Linked DNA regions of Coturnix japonica. The protein of the gene in region 2 interacts with the protein of the main gene of each other region in a pairwise test. Links are inferred from orthologs where the notes say so. Each region holds a gene or a part of one and is shown on either strand. Other genes may lie near its edges.

Evidence for each region.
Region 1: the proteins of UROD (region 2) and LRATD2 interact in binary tests that used the Homo sapiens proteins (3 or more experiments, as listed by UniProt). The two-hybrid records come from large-scale screens. The link is inferred for Coturnix japonica from reciprocal best matches to the Homo sapiens genes UROD and LRATD2.

The regions. Positions count from the first base shown.
Region 1 is NC_029517.1:125,552,913-125,557,239, forward strand, and holds the start of LRATD2 (protein LRATD2), read right to left. Parts: upstream 2,925-4,327; 5' UTR 2,630-2,924; intron 2,535-2,629; 5' UTR 2,530-2,534; coding exon 1,627-2,529; 3' UTR 1-1,626.
Region 2 is NC_029523.1:18,554,168-18,558,623, forward strand, and holds the start of UROD (uroporphyrinogen decarboxylase), read left to right. Parts: upstream 1-1,403; 5' UTR 1,404-1,418; coding exon of another isoform or gene 1,419-1,441; intron 1,442-1,974; 5' UTR 1,975-2,016; coding exon 2,017-2,161; intron 2,162-2,267; coding exon 2,268-2,347; intron 2,348-2,605; coding exon 2,606-2,668; intron 2,669-2,763; coding exon 2,764-2,961; intron 2,962-3,182; coding exon 3,183-3,344; intron 3,345-3,486; coding exon 3,487-3,624; intron 3,625-3,823; coding exon 3,824-3,924; intron 3,925-4,140; coding exon 4,141-4,207; intron 4,208-4,340; coding exon 4,341-4,456. Other genes in the region: E3 ubiquitin-protein ligase HECTD3-like, read right to left, coding at 1-152, 812-1,132. UniProt on the Homo sapiens protein: Catalyzes the sequential decarboxylation of the four acetate side chains of uroporphyrinogen to form coproporphyrinogen and participates in the fifth step in the heme biosynthetic pathway.

The DNA.
Region 1 (4,327 bases), on a different chromosome or scaffold from region 2:
ACTCAGACTTGTTTAAACCATACTGTCAAAGTTGCTTTATGTAGTTCTAACTAATCAAAAATTGCTATCAACTTCCTAATCGACAGTCTTTGCTCCCAAGGGGCATAAAGGACATGGAGTACTTTTCTATTTGTGGTATAACCATAAACAACCGCAGGGAAGACAGCAGTAACAATGCTTCCAAGTTTACAGCACAACGTGAACTGCTGTTATTTAAATGAGCTCAAGCTTATCTTCAGGTTCACCTCTTCACTATTGTGCTTTTAAAGGGAAGGAATTTTGTATTATAAGCAGGCGTCCAAATCTGTTTGCTTGCACACTTAAGATCTCAGGACAATGATCTGATGGCGCCCACGTGGGAGAACAGTTCAACAGCTGAAAGCAGAATTCAGGGAACATTCAAGGAAGGCAGCGCTGCACCCCCCAACCCACTTAATAGGGGACCTACATAACAACTCCCAATTCAAATCCTCTTTTCCGATGTTATATTTCAGCTGCACAACAGAAAAATTAGTAGAAAATAAGGAAACACAAAGTCTCTAAAGAAGAAATTGCTTTGTGATAAAGGAGGGAAAATAGAACTAACGCCCCTGCCTTCCATCCTGCACTCCTTTCCCATCGCAGGGAGGGAGTGCTGCTGTGCAGGACCTCTGCCACACTCCCAATCATGAGACCACCCTTCTTGAGGTGTAGCTTAGTGAAGATGTGCTGGTACACACAAACAACCTACTTCTATGGCCTCTATGCTCTCCACAGATGTCATCGGGATCTCTGCTGTCTGCTTTAGGGGAAGCCTGTAACAAGCTCCAGCACAGCTCAGTATCTGCCTATAAGAGCCCAAGCACGCACCAATGCGCAGACTCTGCAATCAGGGTTGCAAGCTTCCTCCTCACTGGGACCAGTCAGCAATAACAGCTCCTCTCTCCCCAATCAAACCACGTGCTGCTAGCAGAGGCAGAGCTCCCCCAGCTTACCTGCACATTTCTATTAATTAAGAAAGCACCGAACACAAAAACATCTCACTGAAGTCAGCACTGATTTCTCCCTTGCACCTCTTGGGGAGCTGGCCGCCCATCCATAAAGCCTAGCACCACACAAGCGAGCAAGCAGCCTGTTGCAAGACCAACTGAGCCACAACTGAAGAGAAACAGGCAGAGAAATGACAGCAACATATCACACTTTCTGGCTACCGACTGATCATACACTCAAATAAACATGGCCATGTCCTGAAGCTGTTGGCTCCTTAATAGTATTAAGTACTCCTAACTTCTGCCGATAAGTAGATGTCAAAGGCATTTAGCATCCCATAGGGTCAGGCCTACTGGCAGATGGTGGAGGGAAGGGCTGGCACAGAGGAAGGGAAAGAGGTGGGAGCAGAGAAGGGTAGAGTTGCCCTGAGTTTTATCCTCTACAATAAGTCAGTGTTTTGTTTTTTTTTTAATCATCGAGCACTGAAGGAGTTAAGCACTAAAGCACAGACACTTAATCAGCTTTCCCCCTTCCTTTCACATGTGATCGGAATGAAGCTGCACTGAAGCCGCCCAAAGGGTTTATAACAGCTCAATTTCGCAGCCTTCCGTTTTAATCCCCATCACCCAGCCCGAGTAGCATGGCGGTGCTGAGGCACTACTCCACAGCAGTCCGGGCACCTGGATGGTGGGGATGATCTTCCTCCTCCTCGTCGTCCTCCTCCTCTGCAGCCTGCAGGTGGCTGGAGAGCTCCTGGATGACGGCAGCCCTACCGATCTGGTCATTTCTCCTCTTCTCCATGATCAGATCCTCCAGGCTCTGAAACTCCAGCGTGTGGCTGCGCTTGTCGCCCAGCCGGATCTGCAGGCGGTAGGGCTGCTTGCCGATGCGCAGCTCCCCGCCGATTTTAAACTCCCTCTTGCCGTAGCGGCACCAGGCAGCAAAACACTCTGAGTTTCTCCAGCTCAGGTCCCGGTCCTTACAGCCCACCTGCTCCAGGGCGTTACGTACCACCGTGGCAGGGCTGAGGGGTTTGTAGCGGTACAGCTGGTTGGCAATACGGCCCCGCCTGCCCTGGCTGGCATCGGTGAGGAAGCTGTTCACCACCTCCAGCCTGTGCAGGTGCACAACCTGAAAATCCCCCACGTAGACCACCCAATGTGGGTACTGGGCCTGGCACACAAACTCCACCAGGTCACCTGGTTTGCAGCGGTTCAGCAGGTTCTCTGGGGTGTAGGTGCTCAGGTGTCCCCTGCCTCCTTCCTCACCCTCCTCCGGCAGCACATCCTCCTCAGAAAAGCTCTTCTGGTAGATGCATTCATCCCGGTAATAAACAGAGCACTCCACCTCATGCAGCTGGGGATCGTAGGGCTGCAGGGCAGGGTGCTCACCCCCGAGGTCATGTCCCGAGTCCTGCTGCTGCTCCAGCTCATCGTCGTCATTGGAAAAAATGTAGGAGACCCCGATCCTGGGCCCTTCATCTCTGTCCATGCCAGTCGGGTCAGCCGTGGGAACTTCCTTGTAGTTCAGATGGGTCAGCTTCTCCACCTGGTTCCCCATGCCCGCTGTAACGACACACACACAGCGTGGCTATCAAGGGGCCAGAGAGACAGTAGAGCAGGGATTCAGAGCACGGTCCACCCCCGCTCCCCTTCCCCACCTTAACCACACTTCATGCTGCAACACAGCCCTGCGAGTAGCCGAGGGGGAATAAAGGTGACAGCCGCGGACCACTGCCAGAGCCCAGGGGCAGGTGAGGCAGCACGGCCACCTGTTAGCCGGCAACAAGGAGGAGCAAGGCGCCGAAGGGGAGCACCGAGCCACCTGTTAGGGACCGAGGGCGCGGCTAAAAGGGGGGTCCGGAGGTCCGAGCTGGAGACGGCGGAGTTCCACCCCTGGCGGAGGTGAGCCATCCCGGTTCAACTCGCCCCCGCGCCGGCACCGTGTGGCCGCAAACTTACCGCGGAGAACGGCAGCGCGGCGCCGAGCGGCTTTAGGGCTCCCGGGCGGAGGCGGCGCGGCTCCTGGGGGCGGGTGCGATCATGGCCCCCCCGGCCCCGCTCCGCGCTCCCCGCAGCAGCAGCGCCCGCAGCCGCGCTGCCGGCACTCGGGGCTGTGCAGGAGGCGCCGGGGAGACACGGCCGAGAGGAGGGACGCTGGATCCGGCTGCGGACGCCCCGGCGAGCGCTCAGCCCCCAGCATTTAAAGAGGCAGCTCTTTTTTTTTTTTTTTTCCTTCCTCTCTTTTTTTTCCCCCCCCTTCCTTCCGTCTTTCCCCCCTCCTTCCCTTTTTCCTCCTCTCCCCACCTTTTTCTTTCTCCTCGCTCTACATGCCAAGCGCTCTGCTCCCCGCCGAGGCAGATCCGCGGGCGGAGGTCGGACGGGCTCTTTGCGCTTACGGCTGCGTGTGCAACGCGCTCACGCACCAACTCACACGCGTGCTCGTACGCGGCCCCTTTAAGGGAGCGCTGCCATGAAACAGCCCAGCCCGCCGGTTCGGAGAGGGGTTGGGATAACCGGGAGCCGGAGTTTGCTCGGGACGGCGCCGAGAGGCGATGAGAAGTGCCGTGCGGGGCCGTGGGGTGATCCCGCTGCACCCCTCTGAGGATCCCCGTCCTAAGCCCCGCCGAGAGCTGCCGGCAATAGCGGGGAATTTGTAACGCGGCGAAATCACAGAGCCCGGCTCTCCTGGGCTACTCGGTGCCTTGCATTCTTCCATGAGCGAAGCGTGTAATTAGTTTTATTAATAAATCTCTTTTCTTTTTGACTCCACGAGATCGCACTCTTTTTCAATATGGAAGATGATGATTCGTTCCCCCTGGAACGGCATTATCGGGACCAGTGGGAGTATTTCTCTTTTTGCATTTCAGAGAACACAACACTCTATTCTCCTTTTTCATTAATACCCAGTTAGTCTGTTAGGTGGGTATTCTTCCTATTTCCACATGTGCTGGTAAATCTATGCTGTTCAAATAGACTACAGAGATAATTTATGGGAGCCAGGAGTAATGTCTTTAATTTTGTCTCATTGTCTGTTGCCTTGTAATTTATAAACCCAACTGCACACCGCTGCTTGGAGGGTTTGCTGAACAGCAGTGAGTGCAGGAACAGGCATAGTTTTATGGGGTGCTGGGTGCTGCCTGTAGGCTCAGAGAATGCCATTTCTATCTGGTGATGTGCTGCTGTGGCTTCAGATACAGCCACGTGTTTAGGTGTGGGGAGAGGAGATGGGGAGGGAGAGATGCGTGTGGTGCTCCCCGGGACAGCCCCAGCACTGCAGTGAGTGATGGGCAGCTGAATGGGGACCTTGTGTTTTGGGTCCCCTGGTGGCTTGATTCATTTTTCATCACAAAGAGGTT
Region 2 (4,456 bases):
GGTTTGTAATCAACCCCAAACAACTGCTGCTGCCTCTGGATCCTCTCTGTGGACTCAACTGGGACCAGCCTGTCCCCTCCTTCTGCATGCTTGCACACCAGGACCCAGCCTTCCTCCAGATCACAGCCACTCTTGTATTCTTCCAGCTGCTCCTGTGGGGCAAAATACATCCTGTACGGACCCCCTGGACCTCTACAACTCCTTGAAAGGAGGTTGCAGCAAAGTGATGGTGGGCCTCTTTTGCTGGGTAACAGCAATGGGATGAGAGGCAGTAGCTTCAAGTGGCCCCAGGGAAAGCTCAGGCTGGATATTAAGAACAATTTCTGCTCCTAAAGAACGGTGCTGCAGTGACACAGCTGTCCAGGGCGGTGGTGGGGTCACCGTGCCTGCAGGTGTTCCACAGCAGTGGGGATGTGGCACTGAGAGATGTGCTCATTGGGCACGGTGGGGTGGGGGTAGGACTGGGTGATCTCAGAGATCATTTCCATCCTTAATGACGGTACGATACCACAGACACACTCAGCATTGCACTAAGGGCCCCGGGCCTCACATCGCCACCAAGGCCCGAGCCTGGAAGGGACAGTGGCACGGGGTGTAGACACGAGCGATGAGGAAGGCGGCCGGAACACAACCAGGTGGCGACAGGACGCGGCCAGAGGGCGGCGGGGGGAACGAGGCGATGTCAGGGGCCGGCGGGGCGGCTCTCCACCCAAGGGCCGGGGACCGGGCCCCTCCGCGGGCAGCGCAGGCCCCGAGCCGCCCCCCGCTCCGCGGTAGGCCCGGACCCTCGGAGCGCAGCGGGGGGCGTTACCTTGCTGAGCTTCACCCACAGCCCCGCTCCGTTGCAGTACTCCTCGCCCGTAGCGCGGAGGCAGCCGCCCTTCCGCACCTCGATGGTGGCCCGCGCCGCCCGCTTGGAGCCCCGCGCCGGCCCGGGGCTGTCCCACACGCTGAACAGGCTGCGGGACGAGGCGGCGGCCGACGGGTCCTTGCAGATCTTGTACTGCACCTCGCGGGGCACGTAGCACAGCGCGGCGGGCAGCGGCCGGGAGCGGCGGAAGCATTCGCTGCACTGCAGCAGGAACCGCAGCCGGCCCAGCACCTGGTGCGGAGCCTCGGCGCCCGCCCGCATCGCGCCCCGCAGCTCCGAGCCACGCACCGCCGGTGTGACGGGGGTCGGTGCTCACGGCTTTACGGCAAACCACGCCCGCCGCACAGCCAAGATGGCGGCGCCCGCAGGCAAGATGGCGGCGCCCATGAAGCGTACGGCGAAGAGGGGAGCAAAGCAAGATGGCGGCGTACGGAGGGGTGAGGGCGGGGCAAGATGGCGGCGCCCGGTCGGCGTGCGGAGGGGAGGGGTCACGGTAAGATGGCGGCGGGGCGGGGCGGGATGAGGGCGGGGCGGGAAGCGAGACGGGATGGAGGGCAGCGAGCGGCTGGTGTGAGTAACCGGGAGCGGGGTCAGCGGGGGCTACGGGATCGGGAGGGTGACACGGAGCGGCCACGGGGCTCATGGCGGCCAGAGCGGCGTGGGACCGGGAGCACGAAATGGGACGGGACGGGCGGGACGGGAGAGTGCGCTGTGATCAACCGGGACCTGACCCCGAGTGTTGGGATCAACCGGGACCTGACCCCGAGTGCTGTGATCAACCGGGACCCCGAGTGCTGTGTCCAGCCGTGTCCCCGAGCTGTCTTGCTGCGGGCACGGGGCCGTTCCTGAGGCGCTGCTCACTCCGCTGCTGCGGTACCGGCCCCGCTATGGAGCTCTGGGCTCCGTCCATCGGGCTCTGGGCTGCCCCCATCGCGGCCCACACGTGTGCCCCCCCGCCATGCAGCCCCTGGAGCTCTGTGTGATAGATAGCGCCGTGCCCTGCAGGCACACGGCCCCTGTGGGAGCAGCTGCAGCCGGCGATAACGTAATCGCACCGAGGGGCCGTCGCCCCGCTGCCCCCAGAGAGGCCCGGCTCCCTGCAGCCAACAGGTCTGAGAGCCAACAGCGCTGCCCCGGTGCCCTCCATGGTGACCAGCCCCGCCTGCTGTTCTTCCAGCCCCAAGGGCTTCCCCAAGCTGAAGAATGACACGTTCCTGCGGGCGGCTCGTGGAGAGGACACGGAGCACACCCCGGTGTGGTGCATGCGGCAGGCGGGGCGATACCTGCCGGGTGAGTGGGGGTGGCAAATAGGGCTGGGATGGTGGCATATAGGGCTGGGTTGGGGGGGGCAATGGGAGCCAGCACAGCCCTCGTCACCACGGCTGGTTCCTTGCAGAGTTTCGGGAGACCCGGGCTGCTCAGGATTTCTTTGACACTTGCCGGAGTCCCAAGCTGTGCTGTGAGCTGACGCTGCAGGTGATTGTCCTCTGTGGGGGTTGTGTCCCATTTCCCCTCTTATAACAGAGGTGGCAGGAAACTTTCGGTCTGGCCTTTACCCCCAAGTGGCTCACTAGGTTGTGCAGCCCAAAACGTGGCTCAAAGTCCCTGAGTTCATCCACAGAGTGACCCCCCAGCATCAGACAGGGCCCTGCCCACCCACTGCACCCCATATGCGTGTCCCAGCCCTCATAGGGACAGGGACCCACGCTACGTTTTTCTCTCCGCCATCCACAGCCACTCAGACGATTCCCTCTGGATGCTGCTATCATTTTCTCTGACATCTTGGTGGTGCCCCAGGTGAGTTACAATCAATGGTGGGGAGCAATGACTGGGCACGGGGCTGGATCCAGAACTGCCACATTCCTGCCTCTTCCATTCTCCCCCGTCCCCAGGCACTGGGCATGGAGGTTGTCATGGTCCCCGGTAAAGGACCCACATTTCCAGAGCCCCTGAAGGAGGTGGAGGATCTGCTGAAACTACGGCAGAAGGTGGACGTGACTGCAGAACTGGGTTACGTCTTCCAGGCTGTGACACTGACACGGCACAGCCTGGAGGGCAAAGTGCCCCTCATCGGCTTCTCCGGGGCACCTGTAAGTGATAGGAGTCTGCAAAGTGGGTTTTCCTGCTCTTCCCTCTGGAGTAGCGCTGGTCTTGGCACCTCCAGAGCTGCAGGGACCAGCTTGTACTCGTCCTATATAGGCAGAGAACTAGTAGAGCTGCTGCTCCTGCACACAAGTCTGTCTTCAGCACTGATCCCACAATTATCCCCTCACATGTTTTTCATCTCACCCCGCTCCTCTCCTTCTTGCAGTGGACGCTTATGTCCTACATGGTTGAAGGGGGTGGCTCCACTACGATGGCAAAGGCCAAGAGCTGGCTGTACCGTCACCCTGAAGCAAGCCACCGACTGCTGAGGCTGCTGACTGATGTTGTCACCGACTACCTTGTGGGGCAGGTGGCTGCTGGAGCGCAGGTGTGTCCTGAGGCATGGGGACAGGTCCTCAGGAGGGCAGGGACTGGGGACAAGAAGCAGAGAGGTCCAGCTTGTGAGATGAGGGACTGAAGCACTGCACTGCATAGTACCTGCAGCTCACCCAGCCCTTTGTATCCAACAGGCGCTCCAACTGTTTGAGTCTCATGCAGGGCATTTAGGCCCAGAACAGTTTCGGGAGTTTGCCCTGCCATACATCCGAGACATTGCCCGGGATGTTAAGAGCAAGCTGAAAGCAGAGGCACTGCCACTGGTGCCCATGGTAAGTGGGCAAGCTGCCTGGGATATCCCTGTTCCCTGGGAGCACATGGAGGATTATGGCTGCGAGGAGAGGCTGGGAGAGGGTACAAAGGGATGCTACCAGGATAGCAGTGTGACAGGGTCTGTACCTGTATCTCTCATTGTCCCTGGCATCTGGAGCTCTGTCTCCTGGAGTTACTGCCCATTTCCTCCTTCCCCAGATTGTCTTTGCGAAGGACGCACACTACGCACTGCGTGATTTGGCACAAGCTGGCTATGAGGTTGTCGGTCTTGACTGGACCATCCAGCCCCAGGAAGCTCGGTAAGAGTCTGGCACAGCACTCTTATCCTGACCCTTCCCTTTGTCTGGCTGCCCTGCTGCATTGCAGGCCTGAAATTTTCTGGTGCAGAGGAGAGGATAGTCAGGCCCCAGTGCTTTGTGAAGCTCACAGCAGCCGGGAGCTGCACAAGGGGTCCTGTAGCTGCTCCTGATCTCTGCACCACACACAGCAACTCACCTGTTTCCTCCCTGCTCCAGTGCACAGGTAGGGAAAGGTGTCACTCTGCAAGGAAACCTGGATCCCTGCGCTCTCTATGCACCCAAGGTGAGCCATGGGCCTCCTGCCTCCATTTCCCCACTTACAACCCTCACTCATGTCCCAGGCTGATGGTGGCTGGGACTGGTGGGGATGGGGAACCTTGATGAGGTTGATACATGGTTTCCTGTGACATCTACAGGAGAAGATCGGGGAGCTGGTGAAGAAAATGCTGGAGAGCTTTGGGACCCAACGCTACATCGCCAACCTGGGCCACGGCCTCTACCCAGACATGGACCCCGAACATGTGGCTGCCTT